Linked DNA regions of Saccharomyces cerevisiae S288C. The gene in region 1 interacts genetically with each later gene. Each region holds a gene or a part of one and is shown in the gene's direction. Other genes may lie near its edges. The genes, in order: RPN4, ASF1, ADD66 and IRE1.

Region 1 (4,842 bases):
TATTCTCGACCAGATAAACAGTACAGATTTTTCACCGAGCAGGTTTCACATCACCCTCCTATATCTGCAACATGGACTGAATCACCAAGATGGGACTTTTGGGGTGAATCATTTGTTGATACTAAATTCAATGGCAGATCTTTCAATGTTAAGCACTTAGGATTATGGCACATTAAGTTGCGTCCAAATGACAATGAAAAAGAGGAACTGTATACTTGGAAGAAGCCCAACAATACTGTTATAGGTATTCTCATTGGTAATCCACAAGTTGATAACCACGGTGAAGTGAACGTTGTCAATCACACAACCGGTGATCATTGCAAGTTGTATTTCAAAGCAAGGGGATGGAGGTCATCAGGAGCATATGAAATCACAGGCGAAGTCTACAACAAGAAAAAACAGAAGGTGTGGATCCTAGGAGGACACTGGAATGAAGCTATTTTTGCCAAGAAAGTAGTAAAAGATGGCGATCTCTCGTTGGAGAAAACTAGAACCGCTGCATCAGCAGGGAATGGGCCTACGGATGACGGAACGAAGTTTTTAATATGGAAGGCAAACGACCGTCCTGAGGAGCCATTCAATTTAACACCTTTTGCTATCACGCTGAATGCTCCACAACCACATCTATTGCCATGGTTACCCCCCACAGATACACGTTTGAGACCAGATCAAAGAGCAATGGAAGATGGGCGTTATGACGAAGCTGGTGATGAGAAATTCAGAGTTGAAGAAAAGCAAAGAGCAGCACGCAGAAAAAGGGAGGAAAATAACCTTGAATATCACCCACAATGGTTCGTCAGGGATACTCATCCCATCACAAAAGCTAAATATTGGAGATATACGGGCAAATATTGGGTTAAAAGAAGAGATCATGATTTGAAAGATTGTGGTGACATTTTTTAACACGCCTTTTTTATGCGAGCTTTTTTCCTGGTACTTGTATGTATTTTGAATGTATTTTATTGTACTGAATTGTATTTTATTCTACCGCACATTTGTTTCTTTTGGCATATATAGTATGTTTACTTAACAATAGGGATTTCCTTCAGTTTTCCTAGATGTATCAATTTAGTTATCTTTTCGAACACTTTGGTTATGTCACCATGGTCAGATGACCATATTATTTTGAAATCCATATAACCAATTACAAAGCAAGCAACAAGCGAGTAAATAAAATCGTTAGGCGGTTACCATAACCCTTCGTTACGACGCTAAAGTGCTATATAATGCCTCCATTACGGCTGCGATAGAACTGTGCCTAAATTAGCGGCAGAGGTTGAAAACCAATCATCACTAACGTATTCAATATTAATTGTTGAGAAAACCAACTACGGATTGTTATAGAGATCAAACTATATGCACTGAGAGGACGTTACTTCTTTTTTTACTACCTTTCTGTTCCTGTAATAACAAGTTCCGTGGAACTCAAAGAAAGGTGCCTCAGCCCGTACGAACCTTTCCACGGATAATCACGTGATCGCTATTACTAATAGCCGTTTACAGTGATGGTTCTAGAAAGTTCCGTTTCGGCGAAACTTGTTGAGGAGAGCAATTCTATATAAGGAAAGAATAGTTCGAAGCCCAATTTGGGGAAAGCCCGGGATGAGCAGCCTAACCCACACGGATAATTTTTTATCGTTCAAGGAGGAGGATACGTTTTATCTCTAATATAAATTAAAGATAAACCCGAAACTCTTTTTTCTTCTTGGCGTGGAATATTTAAGGAGTAGATCAGTTCCATTTTGTTCATCCTTTTCTCCTCAAGGAAGAACTCCGCTTTTTAGTTGAACTAATAGTAGATAGTACTAATAGCTAATTTGTATCTTTTCAAAAGTTTTCTAGAATTTTCAAGCAATCATGGCTTCTACGGAACTTAGCCTAAAAAGAACCTTAACGGATATTTTAGAAGACGAGTTGTACCATACTAATCCAGGTCACAGTCAGTTTACGAGTCATTATCAAAACTATCATCCAAATGCTAGTATTACTCCATATAAGTTGGTGAATAAGAACAAGGAAAACAACACTTTTACGTGGAATCATTCATTACAACACCAGAATGAATCGAGTGCAGCTTCGATACCCCCACAACAAACCTACCATTTCCCGATATTCAACAAATACGCGGATCCTACTTTAACTACCACCACCTCTTTTACGACTAGTGAAGCAACGGCCAACGATAGACAGATTAATAATGTCCATCTCATACCAAACGAGATTAAGGGTGCTAGCGAAACCCCATTGCAGAAGACCGTCAATCTAAAGAATATAATGAAAGTATCAGACCCGTATGTACCGACACGGAATACGTTCAATTATGATGTTAAAATTTCCAACGATTTTTTCGATAACGGTGACAATCTATATGGTAATGATGAAGAAGTGCTTTTCTATGAGGATAATTATAATCCGAAAATGCAGTGGTCACTTCAAGATAATAGCGCCGCAATAAACAATGAGGATGCGAGAGCTATTTTTAACAATGAATTTGACTCTGATGACGACGATATCAGTGATGATGAAGAGGATGAAATAGAAGAAAATTGTTTGCAACAAGAGCAACACCAAGAGGAGCCTTTACTGTCATTGGATGTTACACCAATCTCAATGTTTGGCTCAGATCAAAAAACGGGTCGTGCCAAGAGTTCTAGTCATTTATTTAATGAGTACAGTTACGTTGACTCTAACATGGACAGCATTTCCAGTGTTGTATCTGAAGATCTGTTAGATGAACGGGGACATGAGAAGATAGAGGATGAGGATGAGGATAATGATCTTGATGAAGACGATATCTACGATATCTCTCTCTTGAAGAACAGAAGAAAGCAAAGTTTTGTCCTCAATAAAAACACTATTGATTTTGAAAGATTTCCATCTCCCTCAACCTCGGCAAACGTACCGTCTACTGCTACTACCGGTAAAAGGAAACCAGCAAAATCATCCAGTAACCGTAGTTGCGTTAGTAACAGTAATGAAAACGGCACATTAGAAAGAATAAAGAAGCCTACATCAGCTGTAGTAAGCTCAAATGCTAGTAGGCGGAAGCTAATTAATTATACTAAGAAGCACTTATCTTCACATTCATCTACAAATTCGAATTCGAAACCTTCGACTGCATCACCATCGGCCCATACGTCATCTTCTGACGGTAATAACGAAATATTTACGTGTCAGATAATGAATCTCATTACAAATGAACCGTGTGGTGCCCAATTTTCAAGGTCCTATGATTTAACGAGACACCAAAATACCATTCACGCTAAAAGGAAGATTGTCTTCCGTTGCTCGGAGTGTATAAAAATTCTTGGATCTGAGGGCTATCAGAAGACGTTTTCGAGACTGGATGCTTTAACAAGGCATATAAAATCGAAGCATGAAGATTTGTCGTTAGAACAACGTCAAGAAGTTACAAAATTTGCAAAGGCTAATATTGGTTATGTCATGGGTTAATTAAGGTTACAAATTATATAGGAGATAAAAGAAGAAAACCTCACACAAAATGGAAATACATATACACATCTATATATATTTACAATATATATCATATATCTGCATTCAGGAATGTTCTTATAAATATCACATTTTTAAAGTACCTCATTGGACTTATAATAAGTTTTCTATTGGTTTTCATTATACTTCGGAAAATACACAATTATATTATATACTTACCCCCCTTAAGGATTTTTTATGAAACCCTCATTACGGACTTTCTCAGCATTGATCTTAGCAGATTCAGGATCTAGGTAGAATTTTCTGATAAACTTAAGACCATTATTCTTATCTAATTCAACGACTAAGGGGATACCATTTGGAATATCAACATTCTTGATGTCATCATCTGATATACCCTCCAGAATTTTCAGTAGCGATCTCACTGAACTTCCATGGCCCACAATCAGGCATGAAGATTCATCATATTGATTGGCTAATTTTAATATGACATTTTGTAGAAAAGGATTCAATCTATAAACCACTTCACGAAGAGATTCGGAATCCGGTAATACAATGTCATGATTGCTGCATTCCAATTCATATTTTATTTGTCTGTTTGGCTCCTTGAATTCGTACCCAGTAGAAGAGCCCTTCTCATTTTCTTGTTGAATCATCTCACGGTCAAGATCTACAGGTGGTGGCTTACCCTCGTAATCTCTCCTAATGAACATATATTTATCCTTACCATATTCTTTTAAAACATTCGGTTTCCTCTGGCCCTGCCAGGAACCGTAATGACGTTCATTTAGCCTCCAAGTTTGAAGAATCGGGATTTTCATATTATCCTTGTCATCACTGCCAAATTCGTCTCCAAGTTTGATTTTATTAAAGTCGTAAACAACCTGCAGTTGTGGCTTTAACTTAAATTCTTCACACATCGTTTCTATGGTCTGTTGGGTCCTAATTAAACGTGAGGTGTAACCAATCTGGGGTAATCTCAAATTATTAGCTTTACAATATTGTTCGATTAGCTCGGCAGAATGACGAGCTTGTTCTTTACCTTTTTCGGTTAGCTTAGCGTCAATCCAACCACAGAATATATTCTCGTGATTCAATTCACTTTGTCCATGCCTTAACAAGAACAATGTCATGACATTGGATGGTGTGCTTGCAGTCATTGTTTACTAAGTTAATATATCTATATTTTTTTTATGTATTCTTGGGTTTAAATTGAACAACCTCGTATTTGGATGTGTGTCTCGAAACACTTCTACGTATATATATAAGCTACTTTGGATTCAAAGATAATTTTGTCACGTTTGTTCTGGTGGGAAATTTCAGCCAAAGGGAAAAAAAAAGAAAACGGTGAGCTCCGTATTATCTTCGTCGTGGGGTGATAACAACATG
Region 2 (7,658 bases), on another chromosome or scaffold:
ACCGTTGTCAAGTGGTTCATTATTGTCGACCCACTGATAAATTCTATTCTAATCAATTATCTCATTGATAGGCTCTGCACTCTTGGGCATGCTGTATTGCGAGTGAAAAAGCGCAAGACCGAGGAGAGACAACCCTGTTCTCCCATTATACAACACACACACGTTAAGAGACGCAAACGGCCTCGTCTGAGGATCGTAGCCATCAAGAGGAAGCGGAGGCGTCGAAGACCACATCGCATCGAGCGTCCACTCTCAAATATGTACCCAATAATGGAAATCCAGATGGTGGCTGTTCCACTTGCTCTTCCCAGTCCAACTGCACTGGTGCATTATCAGCAGCAGCAACAGCAGCTCCCGCAACATCATCCCTGGTACGACCTCTCGCTTTCTGAAGAAGCCCTCTCGACCTGCTGTTGTAGTTGACCTATAACTGAAAATTCACACCCGCATTACCCAGCGCGCCCGCACGTGCTCTTTATGGAAACTATAATGAATAACGACCAAAGAACATCTTTTTTTCTCTCTCACACAAATAAAGCTTTTCATGTTTATAGATATATAGCACATACTTTTACTAAGTTTTCTAGATTGATTACGACTCTTCCAGTTGCACATTTTTTCATAGCGAAAGTACAAGAGTAGGAAGAGTGGCACAATGGCGGTTCAACAAAGAAAGAAGAAAGAGGGTAGAAAGTCCGATAAAAATGCCCCATCGGTCCCACAAGTAGATGCATCATTAGACAAACCACTTGATATTGATGCTCCTCCTACTATTTACAGTGTTAATTTGAAACCAGAATATGGTACAGCTGCATTGAATTTGTCCGCGGATTTCATCAGACAAGAACAGGCATTGGCTAATAAGTATTTGTTCTTCCATCCCGTCATCCTTGTTGTTCTAACCATTGGGCTGCTTATTTACTTGACGCCAAGAATTGTCTTTCCGATAAGGAATACAGGATCCGTTGCTGGATGGTTCTACCAGCTGGCTCGTATTAATAAGAAGGTCGTCCTCAGCGGTTTAGTGTTCACCGCAATTGGTGCATCTTTCTTGTTCACCCTCCTCTCACGTGTATCTGACTCGTATTTCAAGTCGAAGATCAACCAACTTGTTGGTTCTAAAGGTGAGAAAGTTTTCGGCATCAATTTGAATGATTTGGTGGCAAGACATGAAACAAAGGATCCAGTGGTGAACAATACGCATATCATCGTTTATAGAGAAACGCCCATTGCATTGATTTCGTTAGCCCCTAACATGACATTAAGTACTGATGAAAATTTAGTCATGAGTGTTACTACTGTGGGTTGTCGTCGTGTATATGTAAAAAGTGGCATTATCGAAGATTTGATTGATTGGGCTATGCTACACTCCAAAAATATTAGAAGCAGCGGCAAATACGGGGAGACCATGAAACTCTTGATTGATGTCTACTCATTCGATAGCACGCTTAAGGAAATTTTGAAGAAAAAAGGGTTCACTTATATTCAAAGCATTAGAGTCTCTGAAAATCGACTACTAGGCGGTTTGTTCGGTGTGAAGAAGGAATTATGGGGTTTGCAATTCCATTTTAAAGCCGAACACAAGGACTAGGATACTGTTATTTTTATAGCCAAAAAATGAAAAAAAACAGCATGGCATCTTGTTAGTTCTGTTGCAACTCGCAGGAAGTAACAAAATAAACACTATAATATTTCCATATATTTATATATATGTATACAAACACCTTGTTAACAAAAAAAAAATAAACGAACTAAAGAAAACCGTAATGCAGAGTACACCTTGAAGAGAGAGAAAAGAAAATCTTTGAATCCATAGCATAATAGCGATCAACGAAACTTTTTAAGAAGTAAAATGAACTGAAAGGAGAAAAATATAACGGAATCCCAATGTATAATAATAAATAGAGAGCGGAAGAAAAAGAATAATAAGGGGAATTGAGGGTATCAAAATACAAGACATTCTTTTACCGAAAAGAAGAATGACTTAATAGAAAACAAATTCAGCAGATCCAGATAAAACAGAAACTGTGCAACCATCGGAACCATCTCCGGTGAAAGAGCCATCTTCATACGCACAGCTGCCCTGAACGTTAGCGCCATCGGATGCAACTATTTTAACGTTAAAGTTGGCAGCTTGGTTACTGTTGGGGTTTGGAATCAACGACAAGTATGTTTCTCCATTAGTGGAACCAGCACCTAACACTAGTGGAGCCCAGTTGCCGACATCCGAACCAGAAGTACCCCAAATGCACCCATCTTCTGCAGATACACCGGCGTTGTTAATATAGTACTGAGCAGAAGTCTTTTTACCCTGCCATTGATAATAAGTGTCTTCATCAACGACTGAAATTGGTTGTGAATCTCCACCATCAACCACTGTGGGAATCACCATGTTTTCTGATCCTGGGTAATCCGTCCTACATAGAGCAATGGAGTCAGACTTTTTGTTAATGGCCTTAGCAGATGTTTCATCCGTAGAACATAAATCGCTGGTATCAGTGTTGGTACGGTACAAGTAACCATTTTTACAGTAAAGACCACCAACAGATTTACCATCGCTTGGTTGGTCAGAAGGCCATTGAGTCTTTGACATTCCAGGTTCACATGCATAAGAACAGTAGTAGCCATCCTTACATTCGGACGAAGTGTTGGCATCCATGTCCATGACAGAGGCCCATCCACCAAATCCTAGCCAGTCCAAGGAAACTATACCGTTTACAGAAGGGAAGTCCGAACATTTGACAGTACCATCTTGGAATCCGCCATCACGCTTCTGTTCAGAGGTATCCTTCTCAGATGAGGACAATGTAGTGGTAGTAGCAGCAGATTCTACAGTACTAGTAGCGGCATTGGAATCTATGTATTGAGTGACAGTGACAACCGCTGGTTTTTCATCTTTGTGATGATCTTCATGGTGACTGTCCGCTGGAGCAGGTGCAGGGGCAGAAAATGCGACAGAAGAAAGGGAAGACAATATTAAAGCTGCGGAAATTTTCATTATGTGTTAGAGAGAGACGAGTTAAGTATGTGCGACTATACTAGTATTATAATATTAAAGGAAAGTAAGGTACCGTCTATGAGGAGACTGTTAGTTGGATATCAGTAATGAGACGAAAAAGCTCGAAATGAATGGATATATTCTTTTTGCTACTGGCAACTGTTGAATATTTAATGTTAAAACAAACTAACTGAGGTATATTCGTATCTGTATGTACACATATACTATATACAGGAAAAGATAAGCAAGAGAGAGGATATCAACTACGAGAGCGATCGATTATATATCAAAAGCTGTCCGCTTTGCCACCCATAATCGGCGCTTAGTTTCGGAGTTCAATCATAATTCTACCACCTTACACTCAACTTACTCTTTAACTCCTATAGTATAATATCGCCACTGACCCCATATTAAAAAAATTTTTTTGCTCGATCTTCTATCCTCTTTAGGTTAATTGTCGCTGTTATTGTCTAGATTTTTTCTCGGAGATGGCGCATCTATTTGCCGTCAAAAGATCCTCTCATACCATATTAAGTAAATTGCCTCCATTTCTTTTTCCTCGGGCAGAGAAACTCGCAGGCAACTTGCTCTCGAAGTGGTCACGTGCGGGTCTAGGCCTGCATAATCGGCCCTCACAGAGGGATCCCGTTACCCATCTATGCTGAAGATTTATCATACTATTCCTCCGCTCGTTTCTTTTTTCAGTGAGGTGTGTCGTGAAAGAAAACCCACAATTAAACTTTCAACAACCGGGCGACTAGGAAGAGAGTAGTGGGCGCGGATGACGAAGGCTAAGGTCACTTCTTCGTTTCCTTTATTGGGGTTTCCGTGTAGCCTTCCCCTGAATAGTGTGGGACGTTTTATGAGAAGCCGTAAGAAATAGGCAAATTGAGTTATGACAAGTAGACATGATGCCGCAGCCTTGCCTGACTTTACGTCTCCTTCATGAATAAGTTTTTCTATCGAGTTCTTTTCCTTTTTTCGCCTTAATTAGCTCAATTAAGCCTGTCCTCACTACTTTTCTTTTTCTTATCGGCTTTGTGCCACACCTAACCTTCGAATGCTGTTTTATTCCGTTCTTACATGGGATGGTAATGCCTTGGCGAGAATTTCGATTTTCAGGATATTGTCTTGGTGGCGTCTTTTGCTGTTACTATGTGTTTAAGAGAGAGCTGTTCTACAAAGAACTTTTCATTTACGCGTTTTTTCCTTTTTTTTTTTTTCTCATCCTAAACGCGTAAATCTGTTCCCTTTTTCATGTAATGGGCGTACAACCGACGATGGAAAAATGAATCTTGCAATTTTAATACTAACACTTGGAATAACTCCAAACAGGTAAGAGGCTCACAGAATCTCGAAAGTGTAACAGCGTACTCTCCCTACCATCCAATTGAAACATAAGATATAGAAAAGATGTCAATTGTTTCACTGTTAGGCATCAAAGTCTTAAACAACCCGGCAAAGTTCACTGATCCATATGAGTTTGAAATCACTTTTGAATGCTTAGAATCTTTAAAACATGACTTAGAGTGGAAACTAACCTATGTTGGGTCCTCTCGTTCTCTAGACCATGACCAGGAATTGGATTCCATTCTGGTAGGCCCCGTTCCCGTAGGTGTTAATAAATTTGTGTTTTCTGCTGACCCTCCCTCCGCCGAGCTGATTCCTGCGAGTGAATTGGTTAGTGTGACTGTTATTCTATTAAGTTGTTCTTATGACGGGAGAGAGTTTGTTAGGGTCGGTTACTACGTGAATAATGAGTACGATGAAGAAGAGTTAAGAGAAAATCCGCCAGCAAAGGTACAAGTAGATCATATTGTAAGAAATATACTGGCTGAAAAGCCAAGGGTAACAAGGTTTAACATTGTTTGGGATAATGAAAATGAAGGGGATTTATACCCACCTGAACAGCCCGGCGTAGATGATGAAGAGGAGGAGGACGATGAAGAAGAAGATGACGATGAAGATGATGAAGACGACGAAGATGACGATCAAGAAGATGGAGAGGGAGAGGCGGAAGAAGCGGCAGAGGAGGAAGAAGAGGAGGAAGAGAAGACTGAAGACAACGAAACGAATCTTGAAGAAGAGGAGGAAGACATAGAAAATAGTGACGGCGATGAGGAAGAAGGAGAAGAAGAGGTGGGGTCTGTAGACAAGAATGAAGATGGTAATGATAAGAAGAGGAGGAAAATAGAAGGGGGGTCCACGGATATTGAATCCACTCCAAAGGATGCGGCACGTTCAACGAATTAAGAATTTATGGGTTATAAGATTAATGGTACCTGCAAGAGAGGTACACTTTATAAAATGTATAAATAAAAAAATAACAGACATAAGATAAAGTCGGGTTAGGGCAACAGCTACGTAAAAAATAAAAGGCAGTAATATTTTCCATTTAAGTTGATTTTCTTATTATTGTCGTTGAGAACAAAAAGAAATTGGACGAGTCCGGAATCGAACCGGAGACCTCTCCCATGCTAAGGGAGCGCGCTACCGACTACGCCACACGCCCTAATATTATTGATATTGTTGTTTATCAAAGTGAGATACGTCAGTATGACAATACGTCATCCTAAAAGTTCATAAAACACATATGAAACAACTTCATAACAGAACGAACATGTTGGAATAAAAATCCACTATCGTCTATCAACTAATAGTTATATTATCATGTTGGAACGAGAGTAATTAATAGTGACATGAGTTGCTATGGTAACAATCTAATGCTTACATCGTATATTAATGTACAACTCGTATACGTTTAAGTGTGATTGCGCCTATTGCAGAAGGAATGTTAAACGAGAAGCTCAGACAATACTGAAGCTGTGTTAAAGACCTATTAGTTGAACATGTTATGGTAGGTACATATATGAGGAATATGAGTCGTCACATCAATGTATAGTAACTACCGGAATCACTATTATATTGGTCATAATTAATATGACCAATCGGCGTGTGTTTTATATACCTCTCTTATTTAGTATAAGAAGATCAGTACTCACTTCTTCATTAATACTAATTTTTAACCTCTAATTATCAACATGGCGACCCCAGTGAGGGGTGAAACAAGAAATGTTATTGACGACAACATTTCTGCGCGGATTCAATCGAAAGTCAAAACAAATGATACTGTCAGACAGACGCCATCATCATTAAGAAAAGTTTCTATTAAAGATGAACAGGTGAGACAATATCAAAGAAACTTAAATAGGTTTAAAACCATACTAAATGGTTTAAAGGCAGAAGAGGAAAAACTTTCTGAGGCTGATGATATTCAGATGCTAGCTGAAAAATTATTAAAACTCGGAGAAACCATTGACAAGGTTGAGAATAGGATTGTGGATCTAGTTGAAAAGATACAATTATTGGAAACAAACGAGAACAATAATATATTACATGAACATATAGATGCTACAGGGACTTACTATTTATTCGATACGTTAACTTCAACCAACAAAAGATTCTACCCTAAGGATTGTGTTTTTGATTATAGGACTAATAATGTCGAGAACATTCCTATTCTCTTAAACAATTTTAAAAAATTCATCAAGAAATATCAATTTGATGATGTCTTTGAAAATGATATCATAGAAATCGATCCTCGTGAAAATGAAATCTTGTGCAAGATAATCAAAGAAGGACTCGGTGAAAGTTTAGATATCATGAACACAAATACAACTGACATTTTTAGGATAATCGATGGTTTAAAAAAACAAATATAGAAGTTTGCATGGTAGAGATGTCAGAATTAGAGCCTGGGAAAAGGTTTTGGTTGATACAACATGTAGAAATTCCGCATTGTTAATGAATAAACTTCAAAAGTTGGTACTAATGGAAAAATGGATTTTTTCTAAATGCTGCCAAGATTGTCCTAATCTAAAGGATTACCTACAAGAAGCTATCATGGGAACCTTACATGAATCCTTAAGAAATTCTGTGAAACAACGTTTGTACAACATTCCACATGACGTAGGAATTGATCACGAAGAATTTCTAATCAATACTGTTATTGAAACAGTAATTGATTTGAGCCCAATTGCAGACGATCAAATAGAAAATAGCTGCATGTATTGCAAATCTGTTTTCCATTGCTCAATTAACTGCAAAAAGAAACCAAATAGGGAACTTAGGCCTGACTCGACCAATTTCTCAAAAACCTATTATCTACAAGGTGCACAGAGACAACAACCACTTAAGTCCAGTGCAAAACGAACAAAAGTCTTGGAACAAGACACAAAAAAGGTCGAACAAAGTGTACAACAGCAAAAAACTGGTAATTATTGATACCGGTTCCGGAGTAAACATTACCAATGACAAAACCTTACTGCATAATTACGAAGACAGTAATCGCAGTACACGATTTTTTGGTATTGGGAAAAACAGTTCAGTGTCTGTTAAAGGGTATGGCTATATAAAAATCAAGAATGGTCACAACAATACTGACAATAAGTGTCTATTAACTTACTATGTACCGGAAGAAGAATCCACTATAATCAGCTGTTATGACTTAGCCAAGAAAACCAAAATGGTTTTAAGTCGAAAATATACCAGATTGGGAAACAAAATCATAAAAATTAAAACCAAGATAGTTAATGGTGTCATTCACGTAAAAATGAACGAGTTAATTGAACGTCCTTCCGATGATTCAAAAATAAATGCA
Region 3 (7,284 bases), on another chromosome or scaffold:
AACATAAGTATATGGGAGAATTATAACAAGTTAAGTGATGATGATAGGATAAGATAATATAGGATACATGTTATATACAAACTCTAGATAATAAAGATGAAAAATGAAAAGGAAAAGAACATGCTTTTAGATAGTATGTTCACTGTGTTTTTGTCGTTTCCTGTCAAGTACTCGCTCGTTACGCATCTCATTTTATATTCTTTTTAGAGTTTAATCCTGGTGGTAACTGGTTTGTAACATTTTTGCCATTGGCATTAATAATAGATGGAATTGGCATAGGGGAGTTACTACCAAAACCTTGCTGGAAATTAGGGGGGAAATTTCCTTGTAGCATCATATTTGGATAAGGTGGCTGTGGCTGTTGTCCTGTTACCGGTAACATACCATTTGGTGGGATTGGGAACCCCTGTGGTAATGGTGGCATTGGGCCGTTAGGAAAGTTAGGATGCATTGGAAAAAACCCTGGAGGTGGGGGTGGTGGCATGTATTGCTGTTGAGGCAGATCTGGCGTTGCTGTTTCCTCTTGTTTTCCCTTGCTATTTCTTGTTCCGTTTGGATTTTTATTTTGCCTTAATTGCCTGTCTTCCTTCTTATTTACATCTTTAGAATCTTTCTGGAATTGAACGAGACCTGGTGGCGGTGGCATCATGCGTTGTGGAAAATTTGGTGGTACACCCATCACAGGAAATTGTGGACCCTGATGAGCAATTAGTCCTGGGGGTGGAGGAGGAGGAGTACTAGTTTCACTTTTACCTTTATTCAATAGCCCATTGAAAAATGCGTTGTTATTAGGAGGATGCTGGGTAAATGCCATTGGTTGCATTTGTTGCGGTTGCTGCTGGAATTGCGGAAGAGTCTGCATCTTTCCATTATCTTTGTCTGAGGCTGATAACAACTGCGATTCTGCATTTGGAGTGCTCGATCTAGATTCTTTGAAAAACGACATCAGTCTTGAACCACTTTGATGAGGTGTACTGTTGCCATCGTTGTTTACTACAGACACGTTTGACGATGGCACTTGATTATTATTATCTAATGAAGGCAACGAAGTGGCAGATTTATTGAAAAATGATGAAAACCGAGATGATGAACTTTTACCCAAATCTGAATTAGTTTCTAATTCGTTAACTTGTTCTATACTGGTTTTGGATAGGCTTGGCTGTCCAACAGGAATACCAGGTGTTTGTTGTGAAGATTCTTCCTTCTTATCTTGCCTCTTTAAATTCAAAAAATCTGTTATTGAACTAGGGCCCCTTGGAATGACCGGTCTTAAATCGGTGGGTGTTTCATGAGAGGCGCTTTCCCTGGGAGCAATTGCGGTAGAGTTACTGATTCCTTTAGATTTTGAAAGTTTTTTCAATTCTAATTCTTTCATCTTTGCCTTCCAATCTTCAAAATCTGCAATTGAATGGCCGACGTCACCTCCTAATTGAAGATTCTTGTCCATCTCCAGCATTTCTTGGTCAATCTTTTTTTCTTCATCATCTTGTTGAGATCTTCGTTTGCCTCCCTGCATGTTTTTGGTTCTACTCATTCTTCTCTCATCGTTTTTCCCATTCTTGTAACCAGCCTTCCAACTGCCTCCACCATTGTTCCCATTAAAATGATGGTTATTAGCATGCTTTTGATCTGGAGGTCCCATGCGCAATCGCCAAAACTTTCTTTTGGGTAAACTCCTCACAAGTTCCGAAATAAGTGGGTCTTCTTCGTACGAAGCACTTGCCAAAGATGGTTTCAAATGATAAAGTTCATTCATGGAGTATGCATATGTCTTGTATTGCAGATCCATTGGTTTGTAGTTCGTTATAGGGTCCGTCAAACTGCTGAAATTTAGCATGGCCGTTTTCTTATTTTTTTTTTTATTGCTTTCTTTATTGTTACCGCTCGTAGCAACAGAAATGTTAGAGCTATCAGTTGAAGATTCTACGCTACCGATTGGCTTCTCTTCTCTGCCCTTTTTGGCTAATTTTTGGAATAAATTTGAGATGGCTTGTTGCGATTTGTGAGTAGCGGCTGCAGTATCGCTGTCAGACAATTCACCTGAAAACTGGCTGCTTGATATAATTGAAGGGTCGTTGAGTTCCATTGTATGGGTTAAAGTCCTACTATGCTAGTTCTTTGTGTAGCTTAGAGACTGAAACATTCATATACTCTAATATCTCACCTGATCCTTTTTGAACCTTCCAACGATTTCTTTGAAATTAAAAAAACTAAACGTTTGTCATTCTTTACGTAATACATAGAAGTAATGGTATGTCACGTATAAATAATAGATAAAGAAGCACTTTTAGTGCCATTACATGACTAGCTGCTAAACCAAAGTGAATGATAAGTCTAATTACATATTACCAATTTAAATATTAGTATAAATATAATTACAACTTTTACTCTCGTTTTGCATTTTTTTTTTATTTTCAGGTTTTCTGCGCCTGAAAGCTATTGACCTTGCTTTAAAACAGAAATGAAATTATCTACAAACCATTTTTCGAATTGCTTTTGACCCATTGTGGTTAACATATTAACCAACTGAATCGTCAATTCCTGTGGTAATTGGATTTGTGGAAGGTAGATCTGAGTTAAATATTTTACACATTCATTCTCATTTGTGGTGGGGTTGCTGCTGACGATAAATAGCTCCCTCAGTAATCTTGCCAAATCATATGCCATTGTTTTGAAATTCCCTTCTTTGATATTGAACTTGTATATTGGATTGAACGGAATTTCAAAGATTATTGGGACACATTTCATGATGAAGTATTCGTTGAGACCATCTATTTTAAGGTTGGGATCTTTATTGATGTCGTCATTATCCAAGCAGGTCCCATTCCCAAAACATTTGATAAAATTGCACAATACATTGAGTGACACTTTCATCATTGATGTTTCCTGGATCTCTTGCGGCGTATAGGTGACCAAATCGTTTAATATGACCGGCAGGATTGCTCTGTTTATATCTGACAATAGTATCGAAGTGACGGAATTATTAGTAAATGACTGTAAAAATGTGCAGTAAGCCTTTTTCAATAGTATTTTATCTCTATACGAATCGGTGACCACGATATTCTTATTTACGGAGGTGGCTGTGACTGCAGTGTCTATAGGTTTGTTACTGCTTGATTGTTGGTCGTGTTGTTCATCAATCTCTTCGATAATAGAATGGACTTTGTTGATAAGCGGAGTAAGTAACTGGTTAAACAGCTGATAACAGTCTGTGTCCGTGTGAAACATATGAATCAGTTGAGATAAGAACCCAAGAAAATCAATCATCTCCCATGATTTTAAATCTGTGGACGATAAGATCAATTCAATCAATTTATTGATAAATGGTAAAATTTTATTACTTAAAATTGGAATTAACCTGGCAAAGGTAAACCTAGATGCATCGCGGATATTTTCGAACTTATTGAAAAAAGAGAATGTTACTAATATAACCTCAGCTATATTAGAGAATTTATGGATTAAAGAGTCATTGATTAATTTTTTGTTGACAACCATATTGTTGACCTGATTCTCAGGGACGAGACCAATGTGCAAACCTCTCGCTAAAGTACCAATAGCCATAAGAATGTGATGACATTCCAGAATCACAACTGGCGAAGCTCCTTGGGTAATACAACCCTCTAATTGTGTAAATAGCGGAGTTAATATCTGGTCCAATATATCGTAATCGATGGGGGTGTTGGCAGTGGCAGCAGTGAGCTCCTGACTGCTATTATTCAATGTGATTATAAACCCAATACCCTCAAATATGTACAACTGATTATCAAAAATTGTATCATTGTCATCCGTCCCTTGGGCGTTGATAGATGTTACTTTTATGTGAAGTAGAGGACTTATCTTATTAGTTATTTCATTAACCAAATTTTTGTTGGCAAAGAGGATTTTTTTCAAATTGATTCTTGTCAACTTCAAGAATCTTGTAAATAAATACCATGACCTTAGTCTGACGTTTTCTCTTTTATTGAACATAGCAAATGAGCTCATGAAAATATTCAATATTAATAGATACTTTTCATCATCATCAGTAGCATTTGCTGTGTTAGCACTAGTTGAAAATATGAAATTGTAGTTTTTCACAATTAATTCCATGAATAGTATTTGGATTTGTTCGTTATCAATGGCTAATAAGAAATCCTTCATCATTAACAATTCATTTAAAAATCGTACTAAAGTTAGCGAAGGTTGTGAGGTCATAATTTCATTCTTGTTCAAACCGAAATAGTTGTTCTTGGTACATTCACTTAAATTGAAGATTTGATAAATAGTTAGCTCGAAAATTTGCCAGCTTTCGTTTTTACAATTCATTAGGTTTGCTGAAATTTCTTGAGAAATGTTATTTAAAAACAGACTTGGGTCAATTACCACGATGATCTCCTGGAAATTTTTTAATTTAAATCTTACGGTTTCGTTGAATTCCTCAAAATCATCCTGTGTGACCTCGTCGTCTGAAAACTTCATTCTTTTAAAGCAAATTTGTTGGAAATTATCTAGAAAATCCTTATGCAATGGTACAAAATTTGGTGAAGATGCTTTATATTTTTTCAAGAAAGCCAGATAATTTGACCAGAATGGGAAGGTTTTTGCTGTTATTGAATCAAACTCATTATTCATAAATTCCAAAAGTATTGGTATTATTTTCTCCAATAATATGGAATCAACATTTGAAATGACCGATTGTTTGTATAATGTATCCAATTTTTGATCATCGTTGACTTGTTCAATAATGATAGTAAATTCTATGCCAAAGGAAGTAATCAACTTGGTCAAACTTTCCCAGACTTCTAAATTATCAAATGTAATAATTTGGGGATTCATTGATATGGCTTGATGATAGTAAGTCAATTCGTTGGTCAAATTGATCATATTCAGAAAAGCCAGTTTGTCCATTGGTTTCATTTTTTTAGAGATGATGGCCAGTATGCAATTATAACATGAAATTTTGGTTTCTTTAAGATTTAAAAATTTATAGATTAATTGCAGATAATAATTATTTGCATCAATAATTAAATTAATATCGATCCATGAGATAAAACTCCCAATACAATCCAAGGTAGAATTGATCAATCCGGGACATTGTGACACAATTTGTTCGTCCAGTTTTAAACACTGAAACCACACATTACTCAATTTCATGATATCGTTATCACGCATCCAATCTTTTATATTGTTATTTTTTAACTGAGATTCCTTAGACCTAATAAAGCTTTGGTCAGCAATCTCCGAATTAATCATCAAACAGAGCTTGTTAAAAAATTCAAGACCTAGAAGAATGTTACCATCGGTAGACGGGCTCGTATTGGAAATAGCCGAATCCACTTGGAATAGACTCATCAGATCGTCAAAAAAACTGTTCCACTGGTTTCCATTACAATCACTGTACATTAACATAAACAAAGTAGTCAGCACTTCAGAAATCTTATTCATTAAAAAGTCAGGCAGCTTAGTTTGCTTATTGCCCAAAACTTGAAATTTGAGCCATTTGGTTATTTCAAACTTTACCAGATTCAAACCATTTGGATTAGCGTTCACGCCCTCCGTCATCAATTCTATCAATGTGGACAGTCCGTAAAACTTCAACAAATCATTTGAATTCTCGTTGATGACCAATGATATAAAGATTTCCAATGCATTCTCTGATGATTTAATCCCATTTAGCAGCTCGATGGCTTGTCTCTTAGTGGCCACATCTGAGCGTGGATCGTTCACTGCATTTACCAGCTGCTGAATCCGTTCTAGCATTCCTCGATTTGACTGGAAACACTTGTTCTATAGGTTGCTTACCGACAACTTCTCAAACTAACTGATGGAATTTGAAAAAATTTTAGTTTTTTTTTGTTAGCTAATTTTTCAATTTTTCGCTTTGAGCCTGAAAATGATCCCACAATGAGTAACCTGCTAAAAAAAAAGCCACCTACACTAAAATAAGGAAATTAAATTAAAACTTCAGGAAAGAATAGCACAAAACCCAAAGGAACATACGATGAGCTGCCTGGTGTTGCCATTAGTAAGCGTAGGGAATATACCACAATTGAGTATTGACTGGCTGCTGAATTCACAAGCAAATGAATGGGAATATTTGGAGGCGTTAGATTCGAAATACCTAGTGGAATTTGTGGGACCATTAGACAGACCAGAGGATGGTAGCGACTCGCTATATAAAGACGCTGATATGAAGTATAGCAGCGCTTTGGAAGTTTTCTACAATAAGAAGCGAGGACTTTTTGCCATACAGCAACGAACACCACTCGTGTCCGTTAACTATCTGAATAATTTCATCGTAGAGATCATCTTGCCGTTCTTGAGCAAGTATAATATATCGGAAATATGCATTTGGGACTCTCTATATGCAATGGAGGATGAAAATGGTGTGATTGTACGTCCACAGGAGGTATATTCGCTCGGAGAGTTTTATTTCGACGATGAAGCTGAGCTTTTATCGAACCTCCATCTAAACGATCAAGAGTCGATGGTCAATAACTGGTTACATTTTACTCCTACCAGTTTCCAAGACAAGATATCCGTTGATCAGCCGATCTTCAAAATACTTTTCCAAATACTGAATGCGTCGCAGAGGCCTAAAGCCCTCCGCAGCATTAAGTACTGTAGTTGTTTGGCCAATGAGGGGGACAACTCATTAGATTCTCAACAGTTCTTACAATGGATAATCTCTCAAAAAGTTATCAAAAACGCGCCACCAATTGTAAAGTTTGTCAGGCCTATATCATGGCAAGGTGCATACGGAATGGCGGATGCAAGAGATAAATTTGTAGATTTATACAATTGAAACCGAGAAGTATATCTGTTTTCTATACAAGTGCATATATAGCCACGAACTTACATATACTGTTTCAAAACCCTTTGCTCAACGTTATCAAGACAAGTCTCATGCTGAATGATAGTCAAATCGTTAGCCATCGCATGCATTGCTTTGTCAACCTGTGATTGTGGAGGGCCTTGGGGGCCCTGAGGGCCACCTATCCCGGCCTGAATACCCATGTCCTGATCGTTTAACCCAATCAGGTTGTAGACTGGATTTAGCCCGAGCACAGAAATAAAATACCATGAAATGGAGCTAACCCATCTCACATCCAGGTCCTGACAGATAATACCGGTCTGTAACATCTCTTTGAATTTGGCAGTCAAAGGGAAAGGTAGTTGCATAAGAATAAATCCAGCAAAAAAATGGTTCACCCACCACATAATAATAGTTTGAGGGATGAAACTGGCCATATTACCCTTAGCCATGTTCATCATAGCATTAGACATACTTGGATCGTTGAAGGG
Region 4 (10,018 bases), on another chromosome or scaffold:
TTTCATCTACCCCCGTAAATATCATTGAGCCATCGGAGGAAAATGGTAGACAATCCAGCATTAGAATAAAGGGAGTCGAATACGCGAGCGAAAAGAAAGATGCAGAATTCCATGCAATATTCAAGGACTCTGGTGTCAGCCCCAATGAAAGGTTGATTTTAGACCATAGTTGTGCTTTGTCAAGAGATATCCTTTTGCAAGGCAGAATGTATATTTCTGATCAACATATTGGATTTTATTCGAACATCCTTGGTTGGGTAAGTACCGTTTTTATACCGTTCAAGACAATCGTTCAAATAGAGAAAAGGGCCACAGCAGGAATATTCCCTAATGGGATCGTTATAGACACTTTACACACAAAATACACGTTTGCCTCTTTCACTTCAAGAGATGCTACATATGATTTAATTACTGAAGTATGGAATCAAATAATTTTGGGAAAGAGGTTTCGTAGCAACAGTAATAACACTAATAGCAGCTCCAATTCTATCAGTGATGATGAAAATGACGATTACGATGATGATTACGATGATTATGGAGATGATGATGACGATCTTTACGATAATAGCAATAACATATCTGATTCTACCGACATGACATCAAGCGTCAGCATAGGAAAGCCGGAAGATTTACCCATGCCTCTACAAACAGACACCCCTTATGGAACAGGAATTCCACCACTAGGTCCAAAAATTCACTCACCCACAGAAACAGTATACAAACCAGCGCCCAATGAAAAATTAGTTAACGAATCAACAATACACGCTTCGTTAGGGCGGGTTGTCAATATATTATTCGGGAAAGATGTCAGTTATATTATGGCCATTTTAAAAGCGCAAAAGAATAGTGATATTTCGCCAATCCCTGTTCTCGTTGATTCACCCACGGTTTCTGAAGGTAAAAAGAGAGATTATTCCTACGTAAAAACAACACCAGGTGCCATTGGACCCGGTAAAACTAAATGCATGATAACTGAAACCATTCAACACTTTAACTTAGAGGAGTATGTTCAAGTCTTGCAAACAACAAAAACTCCGGATGTTCCTTCTGGAAATTCATTTTATGTGAGAACAGTTTATCTTTTATCATGGGCAAACAACAATGAAACAAAACTAAAACTGTATGTCTCTGTTGAATGGACAGGTAAAAGCTTGATCAAAAGTCCTATTGAAAAGGGTACATTTGATGGTGTAACGGATGCAACAAAGATATTGGTGGAGGAGCTTGGTAATATTTTAACAAGATCTGCTACCAAAAGGAAAAGGTCTTCGAAGGAGAACACTGTTACAGTATCAACTTTACCGAAAATGGAACCTAGCTCACATGCACCTACCGAGCCTGATATTCAAAAGGATAAGGATGACTCTATTATAAGGGAAAATGAGAATATACCAGCTCCATTAGGGACCGTGGTCCAATTGCTATTTGGATCGAATACAGAGTATATGCAGAAAGTTATCACTAGAGATAAGAATAATGTCAATGTGGAAACGATACCAAAATTCACGCCTTCGTTGGTTGAAGGAGGTTCAAGACACTATGAGTACACGAAGAAATTGAACAATTCTATCGGACCTAAGCAAACAAAATGTTTACTAACCGAGTCTATTGAACACATGGATATCAATAACTATGTTTTGGTGACACAAACAACTAAAACTCCAGACGTCCCCTCTGGTAGCAATTTTGCAGTAGAAAGTAAAATCTTTCTATTCTGGGGGCAGCATGACACCACGAATATGACCGTTATAACAAAAATCAACTGGACAAGTAAATCATTTTTGAAAGGTGCAATTGAGAAAGGATCTGTTGAGGGTCAGAAGGTTTCTGTCGATTACATGCTATCCGAGTTAAGAGACATTATTAGCAGGGCAAAAAGCAAAAAACCGGTGAAGAAAGTAATGAAGAGTCATGATAAACATAGGCCTTTCCATAGTAAGGTTGAACAGAAAAGTTCCGAAAGCCGTAAGAGCGATGATAATAAAGACATTTTAACTCATATTTTGGATTTCGTTCAGAATAATTTTAGTTCAGAAATTTTTATGAACAAATTGCTGAGTCCTCAAAAACTATTCTTGATCTTGGGGTTGACCATTATGCTTTTCTGGTCTCCTCGGCTTCACGTGTTTCAAGAAAAAAATAATCTTCAAATCATCAAGCCAGGAAGGCTGCTGATTGATGGTCAAGAATATAATTACGTGCCCAGTTTCGGCACACTGTATAACTCATATGAAAACGCCATATCATCTAAGAAGAAGAGAGAAAATGTAAATTACGCAAGGGATAAGAGTCCTATTGTAGGAAGGGAAAGCGATATTTGGGATTGGATCAGTAACAGAGGGAGTGCAATATCACCTCGAGGTCGTGCTATGTTGAGAAACGATGACGAACACAAATTGCAGCAATTATCAGAAAGTATCAAAATAACAGAAATGCAACTAAATCATATGAAAACTATGTTGGACAACATTGAGAGGGACGCAAATGATCTATCTTAATAGCATTTTATATATTCTGTTTGTATTATTTAGTAATTGTATCTAGTACATATCCTGTAGCGGTTGGCCTGATTCCTTTTAAGTTAGATGACAGGCACACTTTGCATTATCACATCAGACGGAATTGTTCTGCCTAATGGCGGCTATTCTATTTCTGCTTCATAAATGCAAAGACAGAGTATAAGAATAATTTTAAATTAAAAGCAATGGTCTTATCCTTGCCATAAACAGAAGACAACTTGCAAGTATGAACTATTTGGAAACACAGTTAAATAAAAAGCAAAAACAGATACAGGAATACGAAAGTATGAATGGCAACCTGATAAAGATGTTTGAGCAATTGTCTAAAGAAAAGAAAAAGTATGTAGCTATTTTTTCCAGTCGGCAAAAATCGGTATAACAAACAAAAAATATTTAGTTTCTGTTATTAACAGAACTTGTCAAAGTGATGAGACACCAAAAAAAATTTCCTCGACGTACATTAAAGAGTTAAAGGAGTACAACGAATTGAGAGATGCCGGTTTAAGGTTGGCCCAAATAATTGCTGATGAAAAGCAATGCAAAATTAAGGATGTTTTTGAAGAGATCGGTTATTCAATGAAGGACTAATGGGCTTTTAGGGACAGTTCTATTCTTCCAACGTGCGAAGCGTTCCAATGAAACTCTGCTGCGCGCTGAAAACTATATAAAAAAAAAAAAAGATAAAATTACAAAGAAGTAATGAACTTAAATGCTATTATACAGTTACTAATTAAGCTGCGTAGTGTGAAATATATTGATAGTTGTAGTTTTGAGGTTTTATTACCCTCTGTTATATAATAGGTTTTCGCTATTTTATTGCCGAAAATCAAGACGGAGCGTAAGCCTCTTCGGGCAATACCTTCGACTATTCCAACAATAAAATTTAAAAAAAGAGATTAATCACATAGTAACAAGAAATAAACGAAAAACATATCATAGGAGATCAATGAGCCAACTTCACATAAACTAACAGTGAAAAGTCTATAACAATATTAATTTTACACAATTAAATCTACACTATAACTGGCACTGTTAATAATCGGTAATCTGCTAAGTAACTTTTTTTTCTCATTCACAAAGCATCGTTTTCCTCTTCCCCACGTCCATTATCACTTTTCTCCATATCACCCTTCATACACATTAAAAAAACAGCATATCTGAGGAATTAATATTTTAGCACTTTGAAAAATGCGTCTACTTCGAAGAAACATGTTAGTATTGACACTGCTCGTTTGTGTGTTTTCATCCATCATTTCATGCTCAATCCCATTGTCGTCTCGCACCTCAAGGCGGCAGATAGTGGAAGATGAAGTTGCCTCCACTAAAAAGCTCAATTTCAACTATGGTGTGGATAAAAATATAAACTCGCCCATTCCTGCTCCAAGAACCACTGAAGGTTTACCAAATATGAAACTCAGCTCATATCCAACTCCTAACTTATTGAATACTGCTGATAATCGACGTGCTAACAAAAAAGGACGTAGGGCTGCCAATTCTATAAGTGTACCCTATTTGGAGAATCGTTCCTTGAACGAACTGAGTTTATCAGATATACTAATCGCAGCCGACGTTGAGGGTGGACTTCATGCTGTAGATAGAAGAAATGGTCATATCATATGGTCAATCGAACCAGAAAATTTTCAACCTCTGATAGAAATACAAGAACCTTCGAGGTTAGAAACATATGAAACGTTGATTATAGAACCTTTCGGTGATGGGAACATTTACTACTTTAACGCCCATCAAGGGTTACAAAAACTGCCTTTATCCATACGACAACTTGTATCAACTTCCCCGCTGCACTTGAAAACAAATATTGTGGTTAATGACTCTGGAAAAATTGTTGAAGATGAAAAGGTCTACACTGGATCGATGAGAACTATAATGTATACTATAAACATGTTGAATGGTGAAATTATATCAGCGTTCGGACCTGGTTCAAAAAACGGGTATTTCGGGAGCCAGAGTGTGGATTGCTCACCTGAGGAGAAGATAAAACTTCAGGAATGTGAAAATATGATTGTAATAGGCAAAACTATTTTTGAGCTGGGAATTCACTCTTATGATGGAGCAAGCTACAATGTCACTTACTCTACATGGCAGCAAAATGTTTTAGATGTTCCCCTAGCGCTTCAGAATACATTTTCAAAGGACGGCATGTGCATAGCGCCTTTCCGTGATAAATCATTGCTAGCAAGCGATTTAGATTTTAGAATTGCTAGATGGGTTTCTCCGACATTCCCCGGAATTATTGTTGGGCTTTTCGATGTGTTTAATGATCTCCGCACCAATGAAAATATACTGGTACCGCATCCCTTTAATCCTGGTGATCATGAAAGTATATCGAGTAACAAAGTTTACTTGGATCAGACTTCGAACCTCTCCTGGTTTGCATTATCTAGTCAGAATTTTCCATCTTTAGTCGAATCAGCTCCCATATCAAGATACGCTTCCAGTGACCGTTGGAGGGTGTCTTCAATTTTTGAAGATGAGACTTTATTCAAGAACGCAATCATGGGTGTTCATCAGATATATAATAATGAATATGATCACCTTTATGAAAACTATGAAAAAACGAATAGTTTGGACACTACGCACAAATATCCACCTCTGATGATTGATTCGTCCGTTGATACAACCGATTTACATCAGAATAACGAGATGAATTCACTAAAGGAATACATGTCACCAGAAGACCTTGAGGCATATAGAAAAAAGATACACGAGCAAATATCGAGAGAATTAGATGAAAAGAACCAAAATTCTTTGCTACTGAAGTTTGGAAGTCTAGTATATCGAATTATAGAGACTGGAGTATTTCTGTTGTTATTTCTCATTTTTTGTGCAATACTACAAAGATTCAAAATTTTGCCGCCACTATATGTATTATTATCCAAAATTGGATTTATGCCTGAAAAGGAAATCCCCATAGTTGAGTCGAAATCGCTAAATTGTCCCTCTTCATCGGAAAATGTAACCAAGCCATTCGATATGAAATCAGGGAAGCAAGTTGTTTTTGAAGGTGCTGTGAACGATGGAAGTCTAAAATCTGAAAAAGATAACGATGATGCTGATGAAGATGATGAAAAATCACTAGATTTAACCACAGAAAAGAAGAAGAGGAAAAGAGGTTCGAGAGGAGGCAAAAAGGGCCGAAAATCACGCATTGCAAATATACCAAACTTTGAGCAATCTTTAAAAAATTTGGTAGTATCCGAAAAAATTTTAGGTTACGGTTCATCAGGAACAGTAGTTTTTCAGGGAAGTTTTCAAGGAAGACCTGTTGCGGTAAAGAGAATGTTAATTGATTTTTGTGACATAGCTTTAATGGAAATAAAACTTTTGACTGAAAGCGATGATCACCCTAACGTCATACGATACTACTGTTCAGAAACAACAGACAGATTTTTGTATATTGCTTTAGAGCTCTGCAATTTGAACCTTCAAGATTTGGTGGAGTCTAAGAATGTATCAGATGAAAACCTGAAATTACAGAAAGAGTATAATCCAATTTCGTTATTGAGACAAATAGCGTCCGGGGTAGCACATTTACATTCTTTAAAGATTATCCATCGAGATTTAAAGCCTCAAAATATTCTCGTTTCTACTTCGAGTAGGTTTACTGCCGATCAGCAAACAGGAGCAGAAAATCTTCGAATTTTGATATCAGACTTTGGTCTTTGCAAAAAACTAGACTCTGGTCAGTCTTCATTTAGAACAAATTTGAATAACCCTTCTGGCACAAGTGGTTGGAGGGCCCCAGAGCTGCTTGAAGAATCAAACAATTTGCAGTGCCAAGTCGAAACGGAACACTCTTCTAGTAGGCATACAGTAGTTTCATCTGATTCTTTTTATGATCCGTTCACCAAGAGGAGGCTAACAAGATCTATTGATATTTTTTCTATGGGATGTGTATTCTATTATATCCTATCCAAAGGGAAGCATCCATTTGGAGATAAATATTCACGTGAAAGCAATATCATAAGAGGAATATTCAGTCTTGATGAAATGAAATGTCTACATGATAGATCCTTAATTGCAGAAGCTACAGATCTGATCTCCCAAATGATTGATCACGATCCGTTAAAAAGACCTACTGCTATGAAAGTTCTAAGGCATCCGTTGTTTTGGCCAAAGTCGAAAAAATTGGAGTTCCTTTTAAAAGTTAGTGATAGGCTTGAAATTGAAAACAGAGACCCTCCAAGTGCCCTGTTAATGAAATTTGACGCCGGTTCTGACTTTGTAATACCCAGTGGAGATTGGACTGTCAAGTTTGATAAAACATTCATGGACAACCTTGAAAGGTACAGAAAATACCATTCATCAAAGTTAATGGATCTATTAAGAGCACTTAGGAATAAATATCATCATTTTATGGATTTACCTGAAGATATAGCAGAACTAATGGGGCCGGTACCCGATGGATTTTACGATTACTTCACCAAGCGTTTTCCAAACCTATTAATAGGTGTTTATATGATTGTCAAGGAAAATTTAAGTGACGATCAAATTTTACGTGAATTTTTGTATTCATAACATGTTCATGCCCCTCTGCTTCTTCTTGGTTGATTATTGCATTAATGTTACTTTGATCATTAGTAGTAACCATCCATAATTTTTACGCCCTTGCATAAATGAAAAAAAGTTGTACTTCTTCATGAACCTATACTACTTTTCTCATCCCTACATAAACTACCCGACAGACATTTAATTTTATAAATACATATCTCATAAACATCGAACATCGACATACTACTCCAGTTATTCAACACTGACTTTTTTGGTGGAAAGCTTTCGTTCTGCAATTCTTATGCAAATAAAGGTAAACACACATGCAAAAGCGTAGACTTCATCAAACCAAGAATCTATGACAATGTTTGGGACGGTAAACTTTCCACCCAATAGCTCCTTTAATCTTTGTGATACTTCAAAAGGGAGATGGGACCTAACCATTAGCGTTGTAGCCAAAACGTAGACGCCAGTCAACTCTGACACCACCAGATTTTTTATCAAAGATATTCCTTTTTGTTCCTGAGAATAGTTTCTCTTTTTTCCCTTATAGGAAGAGTTATTGGTGTACTCTGGAAGTACATTAGCAGTGTCATCATTCTGCATGGCGAAAAGTGCAAGAATCTGGAACTTTATGGGCAAAAGGGTCACAACGTAGGAGATGGTGGTATTGACAGCAGAAAGACAGCAAAGAAAGAGAGAAATTGACAAAAATAACGATATCTGTTTTGTTAACGAATCGAGATCGTGCTGGTAATTGAACCTGAAAAACGAAAAATCCAAAATATTTGCTATCGTAATGGCTAAAGGATCGGATGCTGCATTTTCACTAAAATTTTCATAATCGTAGTCATCTGGATATTTGAGCGAGTGGTATATGATATAGGGGATTCTTTTCAGGAAAGTTATTATTAGTTTATGAAGACAGTATATGATAAACCCGACTTCAAAAGCTTTCTTAAAAGTGCGTACCTGAGGGGACTGTTGTAATAATGCTTCCAATTTCCCAAGCTCCAGTTGATACCAGGCGATTTTTTCCATCAACTCTGCTTTAAAAGTTGAGTTTTCTCCGACCTCTTCTTCTAAACTTCTTAATATTTGTACATTTTGTTCAATGTTGTGTTCATAATCTTGGATTTTTTCCTCTATATAGGCGTCTGTTGTCCATAAGAGAGATTTACTGTTATTGTTGCTGTTGTTGATGTTTCTAAAACTGGGGTCTGACATTGGTGTATTACGAAACTTGTGCCAGATGACTAAAAAGTTGTAGTATAAACTAGAAACAGTGGCTAACCCAGATAGGGAAGCCATGACTGTGACGCCTCCGATGGACAATCTAGTTAGAATATTTTTTGTGTACTGGAACGGTCCAATATTTATGTAACTTAACAGCGCAATAAGTGTGGACAAGATTATGCATGTCACTATTATCAACCTATCGATATCGAACTTGTCATTGTAGAATTTATTCAGTAACGATATTATAATGAAAAAGGGCTGAAATAAAATTAGTATGAAGGATAGCATGATTGCAGTCAGAGGCCACACCCAAGTCGTTATGAAAGTAACTTCCTTGTCCATTCCAGCAACCTTAATCTGCCATAGAATAATCTCTATGGTTACTGTATACGTCATCATTGCTAATGAAAAAAGGACTCGCAGTGATTGCAGTACCTTATGTGAGGGTAAAGAATACTCTGTGTAGAATTTATTTATGAAATTACCCATACTAGACACATCCTCATTCGAGCCAACTTCCATTTTGCTTGCCAACGGAATGACATTTTTCTTCGAGGAAGTTGATATAATGTCAAACAAAGACCCTACTTTAAACCAGAGCCTTTCATAGGAGCATTTGTAAGCAAATGCTCCGGATACGGAAAGCACTATAAATACGATAAGTGCCTCCATCCCGTCCACCACTTAGTCTACACTCAATAGTCCTTTCTAGTGCAGGTCCTGGAGGCAACCGCCAGAGTTGAGATCTTTTCCTTTTCTTTCCCTGCTGGTCAATTTTTATTGTTCAGGACTCGGTCATCGCAGATATCGCAATTTTTCACTCGTTTGAGTCTAGACTGTAAAATAAAACCGAATGGTTAAGCTAAAATAGACTCTGTATGACTAAGTCGTTCACTAAAGTTCATTATTTCATGCCTGAATGACCTTTATCTTAATTATGCACCATCATATAGCGTTTCTATGATCACTACGGGATATTATGATATTGTTAGGGGGTTATATTGAATATTTCTTAGGGCATGAGGATGATATTAGGGTTATTAATAGGTTTACAATTATATAATTTATGTGATAATTATCACTTGATACGAATTGATGGAGCCTGCTTCTTTTTTTTTTTTTCACTTTCTTGGCAGTCACTGAAAAACTGCATTCGAATACAGGTTTGAGAAACTAATGAGGCCCATATTACTTTACAATGAACAGTAACAATCAACTTAAATGCTTAAATAATCTAATATTGTATCTGCATTGATAATACATTGGACAGAAATTATGGACGTATGTTTGATTTATCTTACTGTGGCCAGATCGGCCTTTCAGTACTTCTAAGGTTTTATACTAACTTCTTTTATTGATCGTTGTAAACTACGGTAACAATTATGTATCAACAGGATGGACGGAAAAAAGAATTGCATGATTTGAACACCCGAGCTTGGAATGGCGAAGAAGTCTTTCCCCTGAAAAGTAAAAAACTGGATTCCAGTATAAAGAGAAACACTGGCTTTATAAAAAAACTAAAGAAGGGTTTTGTGAAAGGTTCAGAATCTTCATTATTGAAAGATTTAAGTGAGGCGTCCTTGGAAAAGTACCTATCAGAGATAATAGTGACGGTAACAGAATGTCTGCTAAATGTTTTGAATAAAAATGATGACGTAATTGCCGCTGTTGAGATCATAAGTGGACTTCATCAAAGGTTCAATGGCCGATTTACTAGTCCGCTTTTAGGAGCTTTTTTACAAGCTTTTGAG

Evidence for each region.
Region 2: mutations in RPN4 (region 1) and ASF1 together harm fitness more than expected from each alone (negative genetic interaction), as found in Saccharomyces cerevisiae (5 studies listed by BioGRID, with this or other methods).
Region 3: mutations in RPN4 (region 1) and ADD66 impair growth when combined (synthetic growth defect), as found in Saccharomyces cerevisiae (6 studies listed by BioGRID, with this or other methods).
Region 4: mutations in RPN4 (region 1) and IRE1 together harm fitness more than expected from each alone (negative genetic interaction), as found in Saccharomyces cerevisiae (7 studies listed by BioGRID, with this or other methods).

Annotation. Positions count from the first base shown.
Region 1 is NC_001136.10:413,724-418,565, reverse strand, and holds RPN4 (stress-regulated transcription factor RPN4), read left to right. Parts: upstream 1-1,857; coding exon 1,858-3,453; downstream 3,454-4,842. Other genes in the region: oxysterol-binding protein related protein OSH2, read left to right, coding at 1-903; phosphoglycerate mutase family protein GPM2, read right to left, coding at 3,678-4,613. UniProt on the Saccharomyces cerevisiae protein: Acts as a transcriptional activator of a number of genes encoding proteasomal subunits. Binds to a PACE (proteasome-associated control element) DNA sequence 5'-GGTGGCAAA-3'.
Region 2 is NC_001142.9:191,876-199,533, forward strand, and holds ASF1 (nucleosome assembly factor ASF1), read left to right. Parts: upstream 1-4,411; coding exon 4,412-5,251; downstream 5,252-7,658. Other genes in the region: YJL118W (uncharacterized protein), read left to right, coding at 1-423; PHO86 (Pho86p), read left to right, coding at 656-1,591; SUN family protein NCA3, read right to left, coding at 1,985-2,998; YJL114W (gag protein), read left to right, coding at 6,040-6,720. UniProt on the Saccharomyces cerevisiae protein: Histone chaperone that facilitates histone deposition and histone exchange and removal during nucleosome assembly and disassembly. Facilitates histone deposition through both replication-dependent and replication-independent chromatin assembly pathways.
Region 3 is NC_001143.9:48,506-55,789, reverse strand, and holds ADD66 (Add66p), read left to right. Parts: upstream 1-5,980; coding exon 5,981-6,784; downstream 6,785-7,284. Other genes in the region: EAP1 (Eap1p), read right to left, coding at 188-2,086; Ran GTPase-binding protein LOS1, read right to left, coding at 2,437-5,739; ER membrane complex subunit EMC3, read right to left, coding at 6,835-7,284. UniProt on the Saccharomyces cerevisiae protein: Involved in 20S proteasome assembly. Required for maximal proteasome activity. Affects the chymotrypsin-like activity of the proteasome. Can be degraded by the proteasome. Involved in the endoplasmic reticulum-associated degradation (ERAD).
Region 4 is NC_001140.6:255,281-265,298, reverse strand, and holds IRE1 (bifunctional endoribonuclease/protein kinase IRE1), read left to right. Parts: upstream 1-3,707; coding exon 3,708-7,055; downstream 7,056-10,018. Other genes in the region: LAM4 (Lam4p), read left to right, coding at 1-2,498; SAE3 (Sae3p), read left to right, coding at 2,746-2,858, 2,945-3,107; YHR078W (uncharacterized protein), read right to left, coding at 7,281-8,939; NMD2 (Nmd2p), read left to right, coding at 9,543-9,548, 9,662-10,018. UniProt on the Saccharomyces cerevisiae protein: Senses unfolded proteins in the lumen of the endoplasmic reticulum via its N-terminal domain which leads to enzyme auto-activation.